2 linked regions of the Caenorhabditis elegans genome follow. The protein of the gene in region 1 purifies or fractionates together with the protein of each later gene. This does not show direct contact. Each region holds a gene or a part of one and is shown in the gene's direction. Other genes may lie near its edges.

The links.
Region 2: the proteins of let-418 (region 1) and mes-2 purify together in Caenorhabditis elegans (affinity purification with western blotting, with the first as the bait; one study listed by BioGRID). This does not show direct contact.

Annotation. Positions count from the first base shown.
Region 1 is NC_003283.11:5,824,243-5,833,895, forward strand, and holds let-418 (Protein let-418), read left to right. Parts: upstream 1-2,590; 5' UTR 2,591-2,618; coding exon 2,619-2,948; intron 2,949-3,017; coding exon 3,018-4,010; intron 4,011-4,058; coding exon 4,059-5,137; intron 5,138-5,188; coding exon 5,189-6,518; intron 6,519-6,589; coding exon 6,590-7,935; intron 7,936-7,986; coding exon 7,987-8,258; intron 8,259-8,312; coding exon 8,313-8,452; 3' UTR 8,453-8,589; downstream 8,590-9,653. UniProt on the Caenorhabditis elegans protein: Part of a NuRD (Nucleosome Remodeling and Deacetylase) complex which is implicated in the synMuv B pathway that negatively regulates specification of vulval cell fate.
Region 2 is NC_003280.10:14,381,173-14,388,954, forward strand, and holds mes-2 (Histone-lysine N-methyltransferase mes-2), read left to right. Parts: upstream 1-2,800; 5' UTR 2,801-2,803; coding exon 2,804-3,470; intron 3,471-3,853; coding exon 3,854-4,422; intron 4,423-4,864; coding exon 4,865-5,013; intron 5,014-5,057; coding exon 5,058-5,275; intron 5,276-5,695; coding exon 5,696-5,888; intron 5,889-6,153; coding exon 6,154-6,386; intron 6,387-6,602; coding exon 6,603-6,813; intron 6,814-7,045; coding exon 7,046-7,127; 3' UTR 7,128-7,282; downstream 7,283-7,782. Other genes in the region: sdz-26 (SKN-1 Dependent Zygotic transcript), read left to right, coding at 600-665, 840-1,124, 1,181-1,360, 1,414-1,599, 1,650-1,931, 1,982-2,137; F26H11.8 (uncharacterized protein), read left to right, coding at 7,341-7,396, 7,448-7,652. UniProt on the Caenorhabditis elegans protein: Polycomb group (PcG) protein. Catalytic subunit of a the mes-2/mes-3/mes-6 complex, which methylates 'Lys-27' of histone H3, leading to transcriptional repression of the affected target genes.

The DNA of each region.
Region 1 (9,653 bases):
GGCTACTCTAGACTTTATAGTATTTGATAGCACTCCAGAAAATTGCTTAGTTCATCGTTTAGCCATTAAACCTACAAACTGGTAGCCAAACTATTATTCTACCATATATTTGATTTAACGTTTATAGTATAATGCGGTTTAGATTATTAACATTTTTGGCAAGATTGGAAGATTTCCTTACGTTCGAGAAATCAAATTTTGCAAGATCAAAAGCATATTAAATAGTAATTTTCAAAAAAAAAATGCCACACAATCTATCTCAAAAGGACATTCAACACTTCTCTGACCGCTCATTGACTTCTCATTTGAAAATTCACGTAATTTGTAATTTTTCGTTTAAACCAAACTCCATGAAACTGCTCTCTTATTCAATATCAAAACAAAAACGCGCCTTTCTCTGATAATCTGATATGAAATCAGGGGGGTGTCGTTGAAACGCTTATCACGGAGACATTAGAACAAAAAAAAAAGAAACCGAAAAATGAGGGGTACTGTAATATGTTATGGTTTTGTTGTTTTGTTATCTTCCATAATTCCATGAGACAAAGGGTGGAGAGGTTCACGTGAATCCCAGCATCTCGGATTATCTGGTTTCCGGCAGTTGAACTTTTGAAAAAAAATAACTGAATCAAAAGTTTATGTTTACTTATTGACTGGACATTTTTGGGTTGGAGATACATTAAAATTTGACAACTTTGAGTAAAAAACGATGACACATGCCTGAAAATGATGTTGGTTATATTTCCTTTGTACAATTTGTTTTTGGGAACTTGGGGATCTTGCTTTAAAATATTCAGAATTAGTCGATTTCTGTAAAAGCCAAATTACCAAATTTGTGGTAAGTTGACAGATATATCATTTTAAAGTTTGGACATTTGAGTACTCTATTATGTCAACACAAAATTCTGAGAATGCGTATTTCACAACATATTTGAAAGTATCTCATAGCGAAAACTACAGTAACACTTTAACTGATTACTGTAGCTCTTATGGCGATTTACGGGCTCTATTTCAAATGCCTTGTGCAATACGCATTCTCAAAATTCTGTGTTCCCGTAATATCACTGTTTTCGAACATTATTTTCCAAATTACACTTTTACAATTTTGTAGAAAATCTAGCAGTTTGAGAAATTTTTTCAGAAGTTAAGATATAATTTCTAGAAGCTTATAATAGGGCGAATCTAAAGCGTTATACTGTTAATTCGAAATATTAAATGTTATTCAATCATTTAAAATTGCCACGTTTTCAGAAGGTCAAGGTAAATTTGTTTATCCTTGATTTAAACATTATGAACATTTTATTTCTTTTAAATTATTTTTAACTCGCATAAACACGTGTTTTGAACTTCTAGATCTTTTTCTTCACTGCCGTGCATCGATTTGAATCATTTTCCGCTTTTGCGCTTTCAAGGGAGGTCCATTTATGCGAATGGGTCTCGCCGCGCTAAGTGCATTGATTTTAAAATGTTGTGTGTGCGTCTTAACGTTTACTGTCCCGTTCTTTTTTTTTTAGCTTTTTCCCTGTTTTCTAAGGTTTTCCTAGTTTCTGAAAAGAATTTGTATATCTTTGTATAAGAATTTGTATATACATGCTGATTCAATTAAAAATTAGTAAAGTTCCGAAGAAGAAACCTATTTTCGGGAGCTATGCAGGTGCGCTCCATTGCCAGCAGATGCGTTTTGTTCAAATGTTTTCTTTTTCATTTTTTTTTGGCTCGCTTTTTGGATTCGCGTTTCCTCTCAATTTCCGCAATTTGATATTTCTAAGTATACAAGTATATTTCTAAAATCGTCATAAATATTTGCTCGTAATTTTCCCAATTTTAATTCAAAATTTTAATTCTATCAGGACGGTTCACAGTTTTTACCTGATTTGAATCCTGAAATAGATCTAATTTACTAGTTTTTTTTTTAATCCGTAATCCAACGTGTTTTTAATTTTCTGTGAACAACATAATTCTCAACTCAAATTAGTAAAGGGACATGCCACGTATTAATAATTTTCGTTGCGGGAAACACGACGCTGCATTTGGTCACTCTTACGCGCGAAGACGGGTCATTCGAATTTCCATCACTCTCCTCTCGTCTCTCTTTCTCTGACCACCGTCCCAACGAGCTGTGTCCCCGTTCTGCAATGTCCCCGCAGTGTCTCGTCAAATGGGACATATGGGGACATGAAATTGTCCCGTTTCGAATCAATATTTGTTTGAAATATGTTTTTGAATACGGCTATTTTTTCTAACTTTTCTTGTAATAATTGCATTTTCTCGATGGTAGATTTTAGAAAACTTGAAACGTAGGTTGTAAAATAAATTTTAAAAAATTTAAAATAGCTTGACGAGCTTAAATTTAAATTCCTACTTTAGGAATTTAATATTTTCAAAATTTTCTACGTTTTTTAGAAAAAATTAAGGCTTAATCTATCAGCCCAAAATTTACACTCAACTCTGTGTGTTATTTCGTCGCCGTGTTTGCAGACTTTTCACACTTTCAAATTTTGCTGATTTGCATTCGAGCTTTCTAATTTGTTCTCTTTATAATGTCCTTCTTGCAATTATTTATGTCTTACTTATATTAATCAATTTTCAGAAATTGTATTTCTCCTGAGAATTCAACAATGTCAACTGAAGAAGATCCGTCTTTAGTGGACGCGGAAGAATCAATGGAAGAGGGTTCTGTCACTCAAGACGCAACTGAAGAAACAGAAGAAGAGGAAGAACAAGAGCAAGGCGATGAGGCTGGACCATCTGAGCGAAAGCGTTCTTCTAGAAAGAAAGGCGGAAAGGGAGGCAAAAAAGGATCCAAAAAGAGTGCTGCCGCAGCTAGCAAGGTTGAGATTCCTGATCCGTATAATTCGACAAGTGAAGAAGTTTGTGCTGCTATCGGATTGACAGACGTCGAATTTGATTATGATGAAGAGGAGTTTCAAGGAATTTCTAATCTGAAGGTGATTATTCAAAATTTATTTTTTAAATCTCGATTTCTGTTTTCCTCCAATTAAACATCTTTTTTACAGACTTTCTCCTCAATCATCAAGCCACAAATACTGGAGGCAAACCCCGGAACCAACGTATCCAAGATGTACCCGATGTTCCAAGTCAAATATAAAGAGTATCAAGATCACATGGCTGCCCAAGGAAAACCTGTTCAAAAACAAGCTAGAGGTTCAAAGACTCCAGCAGTTTCCACACCCGTCATCCCTCCACGATCAGCTCCAACGAAGACTCGTTCTGCAAGGAGAAAGCGTCGAGATTCCGATGCTCCTGATAGTGATCAAGAGTTTGAGGCATTTATTAAGCAACAAGAACAACTGGAGGACGATTTGGTAAAAGACAAGGAAGATGCTCGTATCAAACGTGCAGCGGAAAGAGAAGAGAAGAAAAAAGGAGCATTGGAAGCTGCTCGTGCCGCTAAAAAAGCAAAATTAGAAAAGGGCGAAGAAGCTGAAAATAATGACTACTGTGAGGAGTGCAAGCAAGATGGAGAACTTCTTCTTTGTGACACCTGTCCCCGCGCTTACCATACAGTCTGTATTGATGAAAATATGGAAGAACCACCAGAGGGTGATTGGAGTTGTGCTCATTGTATCGAACATGGCCCAGAAGTAGTTAAAGAAGAACCGGCGAAGCAAAACGATGAATTCTGCAAGATCTGCAAAGAAACTGAGAATCTTCTGCTTTGTGATAGTTGTGTATGCTCATTCCACGCATATTGTATTGATCCTCCACTTACCGAAGTTCCGAAAGAAGAAACATGGTCGTGCCCACGGTGCGAGACGGTTAAGCCGGAACACAAAATCGAAAAAATCCTTTGCTGGAGATGGAAGGAAATCCCGTATCCAGAACCTCTCGAAGCTGGGAAAGAGGCTTCGAGTGACGATGCGATGCTCAAACCACCACGGAAAATGGAACCAAGACGTGAGCGTGAATTCTTCGTGAAATGGAAGTATTTATCATACTGGCAGTGTTCTTGGGTCTCCGAAATGCTGTTGGAAGTTCATTTCCGTATGGTGAGTTTTAAGTGATGAAGTCCATTTGACTAATGTTTATTTTTCCAGCTTATATTGCTATATTGGCGCAAAAATGATTCCGATGCTCCTCCAGAATTTGAAGAATCCGTTACGTCTCGTCATCATTCTGATAATGATCCTTATAAATTGCGCGAGCGGTTCTACCAGTATGGTATCAAACCGGAATGGATGCAAATTCATCGTATTATCAATCATCAATCATATGCAAAGTCGCAGCAGGATTACCTTGTTAAGTGGAAGGAGCTCAGCTATGATCAAGCCACTTGGGAACGAGATGATTCTAATATTGCCAATTACGAAGAAGCAATCATTAAATACTGGCAACATCGTGAGAGCAAATTAAATGAGGATATTCCTAAAAATGTGCAGAAGATGATTGCTAAACATCGCGAAGCTAAAGGTCTTCCTCCAAAAGAAGACGAAAAGAAAAAGAAGAAGCGTGAGAAGATTGACATCCGTAAAAAATATGAAGTTCAGCCCGACTACGTTACGGAAACCGGAGGAAAACTTCATCCATATCAACTGGAAGGACTTAACTGGCTTCGTCATTGTTGGTCCAACGGAACTGATGCGATTCTCGCTGATGAAATGGGTCTTGGGAAGACTGTTCAATCGCTTACTTTCTTATACAGTCTCATGAAGGAAGGCCATTGCAAAGGACCATTTTTGATTGCCGCTCCTCTATCAACTATTATCAATTGGGAGCGTGAGGCTGAACAATGGTGTCCTGATTTCTATGTGGTCACTTATGTTGGTCTTAGAGATGCTCGTGTTGTGCTCCGAGAACATGAGTTTTCTTTCGTTGAAGGTGCCGTTCGATCCGGACCGAAGGCTTCAAAAATGAAGACGACAGAGAATATGAAGTTCCACGTGTTGCTCACTTCTTATGAGACTATCAATATGGATAAAACTATACTTTCTTCCATTGAATGGGGAGCTCTTGTTGTTGATGAGGCTCATCGGTTAAAGAATAATCAGTCGTTGTTCTTCAAAAATCTCAATGAATATACTATTCATTATCGCGTACTTCTCACCGGAACTCCACTTCAAAACAATTTAGAAGAGCTCTTCCATCTCCTCAATTTCTTGTCCAAAGAACGTTTCAAGTAAGTTTCTGAATTTTTGTGTATTTTATTTTATTAATTGCATTTTTTCAGTCAGCTCGAGGCTTTCACTGCCGAATTCAATGAGATTTCCAAAGAGGATCAAATTGAAAAACTTCATAACTTGCTCGGACCTCACATGCTTCGCCGTCTCAAAGCTGATGTGTTGACTGGCATGCCATCGAAATCAGAATTAATTGTTCGAGTTGAACTGAGTGCTATGCAGAAAAAATGGTATAAAAATATTCTGACTCGCAATTTTGATGCATTGAATGTGAAGAATGGAGGAACTCAAATGTCATTGATGAACGTCCTTATGGAATTGAAGAAATGTTGTAATCATCCATATCTTTTTGTGAAGGCAGAGTTGGAGGCTCCGAAAGAGAAAAACGGAATGTATGAAGGAACGGCGCTCATCAAGAATTCCGGAAAGTTTGTTCTTCTTCAAAAAATGTTGAGAAAGCTGAAGGATGGTGGCCACCGAGTGCTTATCTTCTCACAAATGACAAGGATGCTGGACATAATGGAAGATTTATGTGAATATGAAGGATACAGATATGAAAGAATAGATGGAAGTATCATGGGACAAATGAGACAAGATGCTATCGATCGTTACAATGCTCCTGGAGCTCAACAATTTATTTTCTTGCTCTCCACTCGAGCTGGAGGTCTTGGTATCAATCTGGCAACTGCTGATACGGTTATCATATATGATTCTGATTGGAATCCTCACAATGATATTCAAGCTTTCTCTCGTGCACATCGTCTCGGACAGAAGCATAAAGTTATGATTTATCGTTTTGTAACAAAGAAATCTGTCGAAGAAAAAATCACTTCAGTTGCCAAGAAGAAGATGCTTTTGAATCACTTGGTTGTACGTGCAGGATTGGGAGGAAAAGAAGGAAAGACAATGAGCAAGACTGAGCTGGACGATGTGCTTCGATGGGGAACCGAAGAGTTATTCAGTGAGGATCTTGATGCTGCCGAAGGCGAAGGCTCGGAGAAGAAAGGTGCTGCCGCACAAGAAATTGTTTGGGATGATGCAGCTGTAGATGCTCTTCTCGATCGCAGTAACAAAGAAGAGACTCCAGCAGGAGAAGATGGCGAAGAAAAAGCTGAATGGCAAAACGAATATCTAAGCTCGTTCAAGGTGGCCAGCTATCAGACAAAAGAGACTGAAGGACAAGAAGAAGAGGAGGAAGAGGAAACGGAAGTGATTAAAGAAGATGAGAAAGAACCAGATCCAGATTATTGGGAGAAGCTGCTCAAGCATCACTACGAACAGGACAGGGAAATCGAATTGCAAAAGCTTGGAAAGGGAAAACGTGTTCGCAAACAAATCAACTATGCCAGTGAGAATATGGGAACTGATTGGAGCAAGCAGGTTTGTTTTTTTTCTGATTAATTGGGTTTTTCTGATTAATTTCTGATTAAACATTTAATGATTTTTTTCAGAACCAAACCCAAGATGATGACGATGATAACGAGTCGTACCGTGGTTCGGACAATGGCGACGGCCTGAACTCTGATGAAGATGATTACGATGAGAAGAAAAAGCGGCGTCGTGATGAAGAAAAAATGCCTCCACTCATGGCTAAAGTCAATGGACAAGTTGAGATTCTTGGTTTCAATCCACGTCAACGCAAGGCGTTCTACGGGGCTGTTATGCGCTGGGGAATGCCTCCACAAGATTCTCATCAATCTCAATGGCTTGTTCGAGATCTGAGAAACAAATCGGAAAAAGTCTTCCGAGCTTATGCTTCACTGTTCATGCGACATCTCTGTGAGCCTGGAGCTGATGGTCATGATACCTTTAATGATGGAGTTCCAAGAGAAGGTCTTAATCGTCAGCATGTTCTTGGCCGAATCGGATTGCTGAGTTTAGTTCGGCGGAAGGTTCAAGAATTTGAGCAATATAATGGCCAATGGTCTATGCCTGAAATACAAGACGAAGTTCTCGCTAAAGCTGCCAATGGTTCGGCACAAGGATCTTCAAGAAGTACTCCGAAACCAAAAGAAGAGCCGAAGGAAGAACCAATGGAAAAGGAAGATGCTACTGAAACAGTTAACGGAGCTACATCAGAGCCAGCTACAGATGCTGAGAGTGAACAAAACGCTCCTGTTGACGAACCAATGGATACAGATGAAGCCAAAGAACCGAAAGAAGAACCAATTGAAACCGAGAAACCAAGAGCAGCCCGTCCATCATTCAAGTTCAACATTTGTGACGGTGGATTCACTGAACTTCACTCTTTGTGGGCCAATGAAGAGAAAGTTGCAAGAAACGGAAAAGAATATGAAATCTGGTACCGCAGACACGACTATTGGCTTTTAGCTGGTGTTGTTGTACACGGATATGGACGTTTCCAAGCTAATTTCAATGACATCATCAATGATCCCAGATTCTCAGTTCTCAATGAGCCATTCAAGGAAGTTGGCGCTGAGGCAACAGGATCTGACATCAAAGCCAAGTTTATGCAACGTCGTTTCAAACTTATTGAACAGTCCCTTGTGATTGAGGAGCAACTTCGTCGCGCTGCACACGCCAATCGTCACTTGCAGCCGGATAATGTTGGACCATTGGCTCAACGTTTTGCGGATTTAGAGAATATTGCTGAATCTCAAGCTAATATCGCCAAAGAAAGTTCTGCTGGAAATCGTAATGCGAATGCCGTTCTACACAAAACATTGGTTCAGCTCGACGAAATACTTTCCGATATGAAGGCCGACGTGTCTAGACTTCCATCTACTTTTACACAGTTAGCGACTGTCACCGAACGTCTCAACATGACCGAGAGACAGTAAGTTTTAACTCGTAAAAGCTTCAGTCAATATATGTATATATATTTCAGAATTCTTTCGCGACTGACCACAAAAGACGAGGACGCGATAGCCAACCGTAGCGTACTTCCACCACCAGGACCATTTGTAACTCCAATACTTCGCCAGCAGATGGATGGCATTCAACCAAAGTTTGCAGCTCTTTACAGTAAATTCATGTCTGAAAATGGAGAAAGGATGGAAGAGGATGAACCAGTAGAGGCAGAAGAGGAAGAAGGTGTAAAACAAGAACCAGATGATGAGACTCAAGATAGCGCCGAAGCTCCGCCAGTTCTTAGTGCAGGTTAGTACTAATTCATATGGATCTTAAAATAACTCAATGTATTTCTATTTCCAGAAGTGAATTCCGACGATAGCAACGATGTTCCATCTACTTCCGCTGCTGCTGCTGTCAGTTCTGAAACAGCTGCCGACGCCGAACCAGCTTCCGCCGAAGATCAAGCTCCAACAGATGAGCCAGAACCAATGGAAACTTGAATGTCTTTTTAATTTTATTGGGTTTTACTGTATTTTTTCAAACTTTAAACCATTATATTATTTATTGTTCTCTTTTTAGTTGCATCAATTGAAATGCAATTCAAATAATTGCGTCATGAATCTGTGTAAACGTTTAATCCTGATCTTTTCGTCTTAACTTGTTCACATGAATCTAAGCAGCCTCGCCATCAACACGTTGACCGTTCTATGATAACCCAGTCATTCTCTATCTCGCCTCGCTTCCTCTTTGCCCATTCCCCTTGACGAATAGGGTAATTAATCAATTGCACCGCGCAGAAGACACAGGGTTCCGGCGTGGGCGACAGTCAAAAAAGGAAGTGTGGAATGTGTGTGAAGATATCAAATATTTGTGACGTTCTCTGTTGTCTTGACAGGAAGAGAGAAGCGTTAACTATTTCATATTCCGATGACGTATTTGTTTGATGTTGTCGATGAAATTTACAGTTACATCATCGAAACGGTTATCCTTCAAAGGTCATCTGGAAATTTTGAAATTAGAAAACAAGTTGATTTTTACATCATTGGTTTCGTAGCCATAGATCACCGATCATAAATGAAATATCATCAATTTCATGATTTTTTTCATATGGTTTAGACTTTGGAGAGGGACCAAACGCTACTAAATACTTGGAACTTTATTAACATTGTATTATAATATTCAGAAATTTGCACTTTTCGCGTCAATGAATACGGTAACTGGTCTCGATGGGACAATTTTTTGTTCTGAAAAAAAGATTGAGCCTTTAATGACTACTGTAATGATTTCCAACTCTCGTTGCTATTGATGTCGCTTTTGTTCAATAAAAAATAAATTTATTCAATAAAAAATTAAAGGAATCATATACGAAAAAATCATAGCCTTCTGCGATTATCGAAATTTGTCGTGTTGAGATCGGGTACCGTATGTTTGGCTGAAAAATCTGATTCCTCGCGGCTAAACCTGTCTGAAAAATTCCATGCTACGTTAGGTAGACGTTTCATTTTCAGATAACAGCGAAAATGCAGAATCTATGACATTGTCAAATTGCGCGTGTTCAGAGACTTGCTGAAACATAGACCCGAAAAAAGTTCACAACAGAATGAAGTCATCTTGTAACTGATTACCTCATATTCAGGCGTGGCTGGACTCAATGATATAGACGAAAATATTGGAAATCGTAAATGCATGACTGGTCATTCA
Region 2 (7,782 bases), on another chromosome or scaffold:
AAAGATGTATTAATTATTAAATTATGCCATTTACTCTTTGCCATATACCATATACCATATACCATATACCATATACCCTAACTGCCTAGGCTCCTAATTGATAAAATAGTCTGAGTACATACATAGATTAGGTTACCGAAACAAGTTCCGCACAGCCATTTTAAACATGCCAACAGGCAGGCATGAAGGAATCAATATTTATAACAAAAAATGTGCTTTTTTCCAGCATTTTGAAGTGGGATTATGATTGAACGTCTGAACATTTTTGTCATGAACTAATGCTCATTCCCCATACCTCATTACGTCAATAGAATCAATAAATACGAGCTGTCATGCGCATCGCCACAGTGCTCCCGAAAGTGTAATTACAGCACTCTGCCGACGTGCTGCAATGCTACATTGACCTCCTTCCCTGGACAAACGCTGCAATGTTGCAGCGTCCGAGGAGACAAACAATGAAGAAGACCAGGTCAGTCTTTAATATTTTTTTATGGTGTTTGGTGACCTCTTTTTCTGTTTTATTAAAGTTATTTTTCTAAAATCTTATAGTATAACTTATACATTTTGTTCAAATTCCAGATCAATTCTCCAGATCAAAAATGAACCGAACTGAGATCGAGATCGAGCTTTTCGCACGTGTCATCAAGAGCGGACACGAAGAATCGGTAAGTAAATAGCTTTTATTTTGAATCGTAATGCTTAAATTCCCGTTGATTTTCTTTAGCCCTACCTTCCGGGGCTGTGCGGCTTGTAGAAAAATTGGGTTATCGGCTGAAGCCGACAGCCGCACAGCCCTGCTAACTACTACATATACTCAAAATCCAAATATGAAATTTCAGATCCAAGAAGTCTTGAAAACGTTGCCGGAAGTCCCCTTTACCGTCGAAATCCTGGACAAGTGCAACATCGCATGTCTGATCGATCAATTTGTCCCGAACTTAGCGCCGGCCACCGACTTTGCCAGAAGGATCAGAAAATGGAGGAACGCAAGCATGCAAAGGGAAAAGGCCAAAATTGTAAAGTATTTCACATACGGAACATTGTACGATTTTGGTGGAACATTTGTCCCGGACCATGTTTTGAAGCTTCTCACTGATATGATGTGTTTCGATGATTTGGCTCTTGTAAGTTAAATGGTCACTAATTTCAGCGGGAATTCAAAAACAATTATGGTTTTCAGGTAAAATGTGCCTTCAAACTTCTCGGTGCATTGGAGCTATCACTTGCGGATTTCGAGTACTATAGAGTGCACGAGACTGCTGCTCAGTTCCAGTACAGATTTGTTGAAGCAGACGAGTTGGTGCGAAAAATTGAACAATTGCGACGGGAGCTGTCAGACGAGTCGTTGCTGGATCAAGATGCATGTTTTTTTTCAAAGAAAAGTTTAGGGTAACTATTAATTTTCCATTTTAGATCCCAAATCTCGAAATGGATAATTTCGATCAGACAGAGCTGCTCCCAAAACTTCTCGATAATCTCCACTTGCATGGTGATCAAGAGGAAGGGCACTACAAAATGATGGAGAATTATGAGTGGGCCCTTTGGGAAGTTCTCATGGTGCACCTGGTGCAATCAATTAAGACTGGGAATCGACGAGTGGTGAGTTATAGATTAATTTTTACAATTTAAATTATAATATGATATTTCAGATCACAAGAGCCATAATCCACCACCAAGAGCACCGGTTTCCACTGGCACTTTACAGAAAATACGAGATCCAATCACTGATCCGAGCTCTTCCTCGTAAGATCTCAGCTGCTTCACAACTATTTGATGAGATCGAGCTAATTGAGGAGTCCACATTGAATTCCCAGCATATTGAAGCTTTCCGGGAGGTGAAAAAAGCTGTGAACGGAATGGAAGAAGGAGAAGAAGCATGGCCAGTGCTCATGTCTTTGATGATGGGATTCTTGAAGCAAGACGATGGATTTGTGAGTTTACCTCTGATGTTTTTCTCTATTTTCAAAATAATATTTTTCAGGTTCACGGAGCCGTTGAGTTGCTACTGAATTGCAATATTTCACGGGAGCGATTTGTCGAGTTTGCGGTGGAGAATACTCTACTGAATCTTCCATATCGAACTGAAGAGATCAATGAGCTACTGGTGAAGATTCGGAGCATGGAACCGCGTCAATAATAGATTTAATTTTCTTAAAAATTTTTTTTGTAATTTTTCCAAAGTTCAAATAAAATTGTTCTTGGAATTATTCAGCCTTACTAGTAATAGTTAGTATGCAAAATTTTGCAAATATTACGGTACCCGGTCTCACCAAAACCAATTTTGGTTAAATGCAAAAAGGTGTGTGCCTTTAAAGACATAATTGCAAACTCTCAGGAATTTTCATCGATTTTTTTATAAGTAGGTTTTCCTAAATCCTTTTTTCGAAAATTTATTGATTTTTTTTCTATATTTAATATAAGCTTTTTAATATATTGCGATCGGAAAAAATTCGATGAAAACTCCGCGGCCACGAAAATTTGACTTTTATGTACTTTTTTAAAGGGTGCATATATTTTCGCATTTAACAAAAAATTGCTGTGTTGAGACCTGGCACCGTATTTTTAGCATAAAAATGGCAGAACTTCGCGCCTGGGTAACATATTTTGCAAAAAGCATTTGGTTTTCCTTGTCAGATTCAAATTCCAAACCTTCGCGCCAACTTCACATTATCAATAGGGCGCGATTGCACGCAACACTTGCAATGTTTTTAAAAATTAAAAATTGTTTGTTTTCGATTTATTCTCTCGTCTTTTTCGTCTTAATACAATTTTCTCCCTTTTTAAAACGCAATATTCTTTCAGAATGAGCAACTCAGAGCCCAGCACATCAACTCCCTCAGGAAAAACAAAGAAGCGCGGGAAAAAGTGCGAAACTTCTATGGGAAAATCGAAGAAATCGAAAAATTTGCCTCGCTTTGTGAAAATTCAGCCAATTTTTTCATCTGAAAAAATCAAGGAGACCGTGTGCGAACAAGGAATTGAAGAATGTAAACGTATGCTTAAAGGCCACTTCAATGCTATCAAAGATGACTATGACATTCGAGTAAAAGACGAGCTGGACACAGACATCAAAGATTGGTTGAAGGATGCGAGCAGCAGTGTTAATGAATATCGCAGAAGGCTGCAAGAAAATTTAGGAGAGGGCAGAACTATCGCAAAATTTTCATTCAAAAACTGTGAAAAATACGAAGAAAACGACTACAAAGTCTCCGATTCCACAGTTACATGGATCAAACCGGATCGAACGGAGGAAGGAGATTTGATGAAGAAGTTTCGTGCTCCGTGTTCACGTATCGAGGTTGGCGACATTTCCCCGCCAATGATATACTGGGTTCCAATCGAGCAAAGTGTGGCGACTCCGGATCAGCTGCGGCTCACGCATATGCCGTATTTTGGCGATGGTATTGACGATGGGAATATCTATGAGCATTTGATTGATATGTTCCCAGATGGAATTCATGGATTTTCGGGTGAGAAATTGCAAAATACCGGATTTTTTCCATTTTCTCTGAGAAACCCCCAAAAATCGAAAAAAAAACAGGCGGGACGAAGGTACCATTATTTCTATTTATTTTTACATTTTACATTCAAATTGCCTAATTTCTCACTTTTCAGTGAGAAATCGCCGTAAAATTTTTTTGAAATTTTATTTCAATTAATGTCATTTTGAATGTCAAACACAAAATTAGTTTTAAAAAATAGCCTTGAAAGTGAAAAATGCGAAAAACAAGTTCCCACTTGTCCACGTGTAGTTCTAAATGTTTCATAAATCGACATGCATCAAACCTCGGGACAATCTTGCAAATCCTTAGCTCCAGGTATTTTTTAAGCGAATTGATGTTAAATTTTTCAGACAACTGGTCCTATGTCAATGATTGGATACTCTACAAACTATGCCGTGCTGCGCTCAAAGACTACCAAGGCAGCCCAGACGTATTCTACTACACCCTCTACCGTCTATGGCCAAACAAAAGTTCACAGAGAGAATTTTCGTCGGCTTTTCCCGTTTTGTGCGAGAACTTTGCTGAAAAAGGATTCGATCCGTCGAGCCTCGAACCATGGAAGAAGACAAAAATCGCTGAAGGTGCTCAAAATCTTCGAAATCCGACGTGTTACGCGTGCCTCGCATATACATGTGCGATTCACGGATTCAAAGCCGAAATTCCAATCGAGTTTCCGAATGGTGAATTCTATAATGCGATGCTTCCGCTGCCAAATAACCCGGAAAATGATGGAAAGATGTGTTCTGGAAATTGCTGGAAATCGGTGACGATGAAAGAAGTTTCAGAAGTTCTTGTGCCGGATTCTGAAGAAATTCTGCAGAAAGAAGTGAAGATTTATTTCATGAAATCAAGAATTGCAAAGATGCCGATTGAAGATGGAGCGCTCATTGTGAACATTTACGTGTTCAATACATATATTGTAAGAGTACGCGATTTTTGCGCCAAAACCTGGCCTCGACGCGACAAATTTTTGTTAAATGCGAAAAGGCGTGCGTCTTTGAAGAGTACTGTAATTTTAAATTTTCAATAATTTTTCTAACAAGGGAAGAGTTCAAAAACTATTCCTGAATTCGGAATAAAAATAGTGTCATGCGATAGTTGGAGGTCTGAGATGATCCCTCCGAAACATTTTTATTGAAAAATTATATTTCCAGTGAAATTAATTTCTCGCAAGTTTTCTCTTTTTTTTAAAGCTATAAAGCTTGATTTTGCACCTTTTTCGTTATTTTGTTTTTCATTTTGCGTTTAAGAGTTTGTATATTATGTAAATCAAACTATTTTAAACAAAAAATAGCGAAAAATAGGAAAAAAGGGTGCAAAATCGAGCTTTATAGCTTAAAATGCAAAAAATCCATTCTCAGCCATTCTGCGAGTTTGTCAAAAAATATGTCGACGAAGACGACGAGGAAAGCAAAATTCGTTCATGTCGTGACGCATATCATCTAATGATGTCGATGGCAGAAAATGTGAGCGCCCGACGACTTAAAATGGGACAACCGTCGAATAGATTGTCAGTTGACGCGATTTTTTATATAAAAAATTGAATTGTTTCAGAAGTATCAAGGATCGAGTCAACAACTTCCGTCGTAATCAGTTGAGTCAGGAGAAGGCGAAGCGTAAGCTGCGTCACGACAGTCTGCGTATTCAAGCATTGAGAGATGGTCTGGATGCGGAAAAATTGATTCGAGAAGATGATATGCGTGATTCTCAGCGAAATAGCGAGAAAGTTCGCATGACCGCGGTGACGCCAATCACAGCGTGTCGACATGCGGGTGAGGAATGGAAAACAATTATGGGGTTATTCGTGAAATGTAGAAAAATGCAATAATTTGTTTTTATACATTTTTCACCTACCCATGTGCATCGAACAATGTAGCATTAATTTTTTGCATTTTTCGACATTTTTCGGCATTTCCTGCATTTTTCGACATTGGGCGACATCCCACTTCTCATGCTGAAGGCGAGACACGCAGAGAAAACCCGCGGGTGCATATCTCTCTGCGTCTCTCGCCTTCAGCATGTGAAGTGGGCTGTCGACCGATGTCGAAAAATGCAGAAAACGAATATTTTTTTGTATTTATTGGACACACATGTATTTATTGGACACAAATGAATGAAAACACATTTTTGCACATTTTACTACATCGCATTAATAACCCCATTAATTGAAAATTAATTTTTAAACATTTCAGGCCCATGCAACGCGACAGCCGAAAATTGTGCATGTCGTGAAAACGGAGTGTGCTCGTACATGTGCAAATGCGATATAAACTGTTCTCAGCGATTCCCGGGATGCAATTGCGCCGCCGGTCAGTGCTACACGAAGGCTTGCCAGTGCTATCGAGCCAATTGGGAATGTAATCCGATGACGTGTAATATGTGCAAGTGAGTGCACAGGAATTTTTTGAAAAGTTTTTTTAGTAAGCTTTAATTTTTCAGAACTTCCAGAAATGGAAATTTTAAGAAAGGAAAAAATTAAACTTTCCAAAAAAAATTGATCGAACTGAAAATTTCTCGAAAAAGAAGGACCAAATGTCCATTAAAAATCTTCAATCAAAATCCCAAATTTAAAAAAAGGTATATAAAATCAAAATAGCACAGAAAAATCGAATTTTGTACCTGAAAATTCTCAATTTAAAAACAAATTCAGATGCGACGCCATCGACTCGAACATAATAAAATGCCGCAATTTTGGAATGACTAGAATGATCCAAAAACGAACGTATTGCGGGCCATCGAAAATAGCAGGCAATGGACTTTTCTTGTTGGAACCCGCCGAAAAAGACGAGTTCATTACGGAATACACTGGTGAACGAATTTCCGATGATGAAGCCGAACGACGCGGTGCGATATATGATCGATATCAGTGCAGCTACATTTTTAGTATGTACTTTTTTTAGATCACGGTGTCGCAGAAAAATGTTTTAAATTTAAATTTTTTTTGGGTTTTTAGAGACAACATTTCGATTTTTTGAAAATCAAATAAATAAGAAAAAATTATTTCAAAAAATTAACAAAATATCGAAAAAAAAAACCATCAAAAGTTTTCTTTTTTTTTGAAAATTCAATTTTTCGGAACAAAAAAAAATATTTTTGCAGACATTGAAACCGGGGGTGCGATCGATTCGTACAAAATTGGAAACTTGGCACGATTTGCCAATCATGACAGCAAGAATCCGACGTGCTACGCGAGAACGATGGTTGTCGCCGGAGAGCACCGAATTGGGTTCTATGCGAAGAGACGGCTTGAGATTAGTGAAGAGCTCACATTTGACTACAGTTATTCTGGAGAACATCAGATAGCGTTCAGGTAGATTTTGCAAAAAGCTTTTCGGGTCTCGAGACGACTGCAGCTACCGTACCCTCTAGTTTTTTCCACTCAATTTTTAAAAATTTATAACACAAAGATTTTTTTGGATCAAAAAAATCATGATAAGCCGTAGAAAATTGTGGTTGGTTACGGTAGCTGCAAATTTTCGGTCGCTTCGAGAACCAGTTTTGTGTAGACTTTCAACTTGACTTTTTGAATAAACTTTTTCCAGGATGGTCCAAACCAAGGAGAGATCCGAGAAGCCCAGCAGGCCCAAAAGCCAGAAACTCTCCAAACCAATGACTTCTGAATAATCTTTTTTCTTGACTTTTTTTCTTAAATTTTTCCCGTTGATATCACTTTCAAATCTCAAGATCTACTTGTTTAACTGTTATTTCCCTAGAATCTCATGTTTCTGAATACATTTTCCTTCCTTCAAATTTCTGAAAACCATAAATATAATCGAATCAAAATTCCTCCTATAAAATCGCCCGACACAGCACAATTTTTTCACTTCTTCCTTAAAGATGGTGATTTTCTTCTTATTTTTCTTATTTCCCATGCTGCTGGAGGCTTCGGAAACGTAAGTTGGATTTTTTTCTGCAGGAAAATCTGAAAATGACAAAAATTCCAGTAGCAGAAGCTTAATCGAACCACCGGCCGTAATTCCTGAGAAACTCAAAACATTTTGCCAGATCGATCCAACGTACGAGATTTGCGTGAAGCTTGGCATTCCGAAAGCTGCGAGAAAGTTTGCAGCGAGATCCAAAATCCAGGGAAGACAGAGAAAAGGCGTCGATTGTAGGCAGGCCCCATTGCATCCGGGTTGTCAGAGATAAAAATGTTCCAAATATTATAGAAAAATTCCAATTATAGAAATGTGTACCTGGACAAGTTCATCGCGTGGAAAATTCATCACGATTGCGAGGTGAATCCAAATGGAGAATTTTGCCCGAAAACTTTGAATCG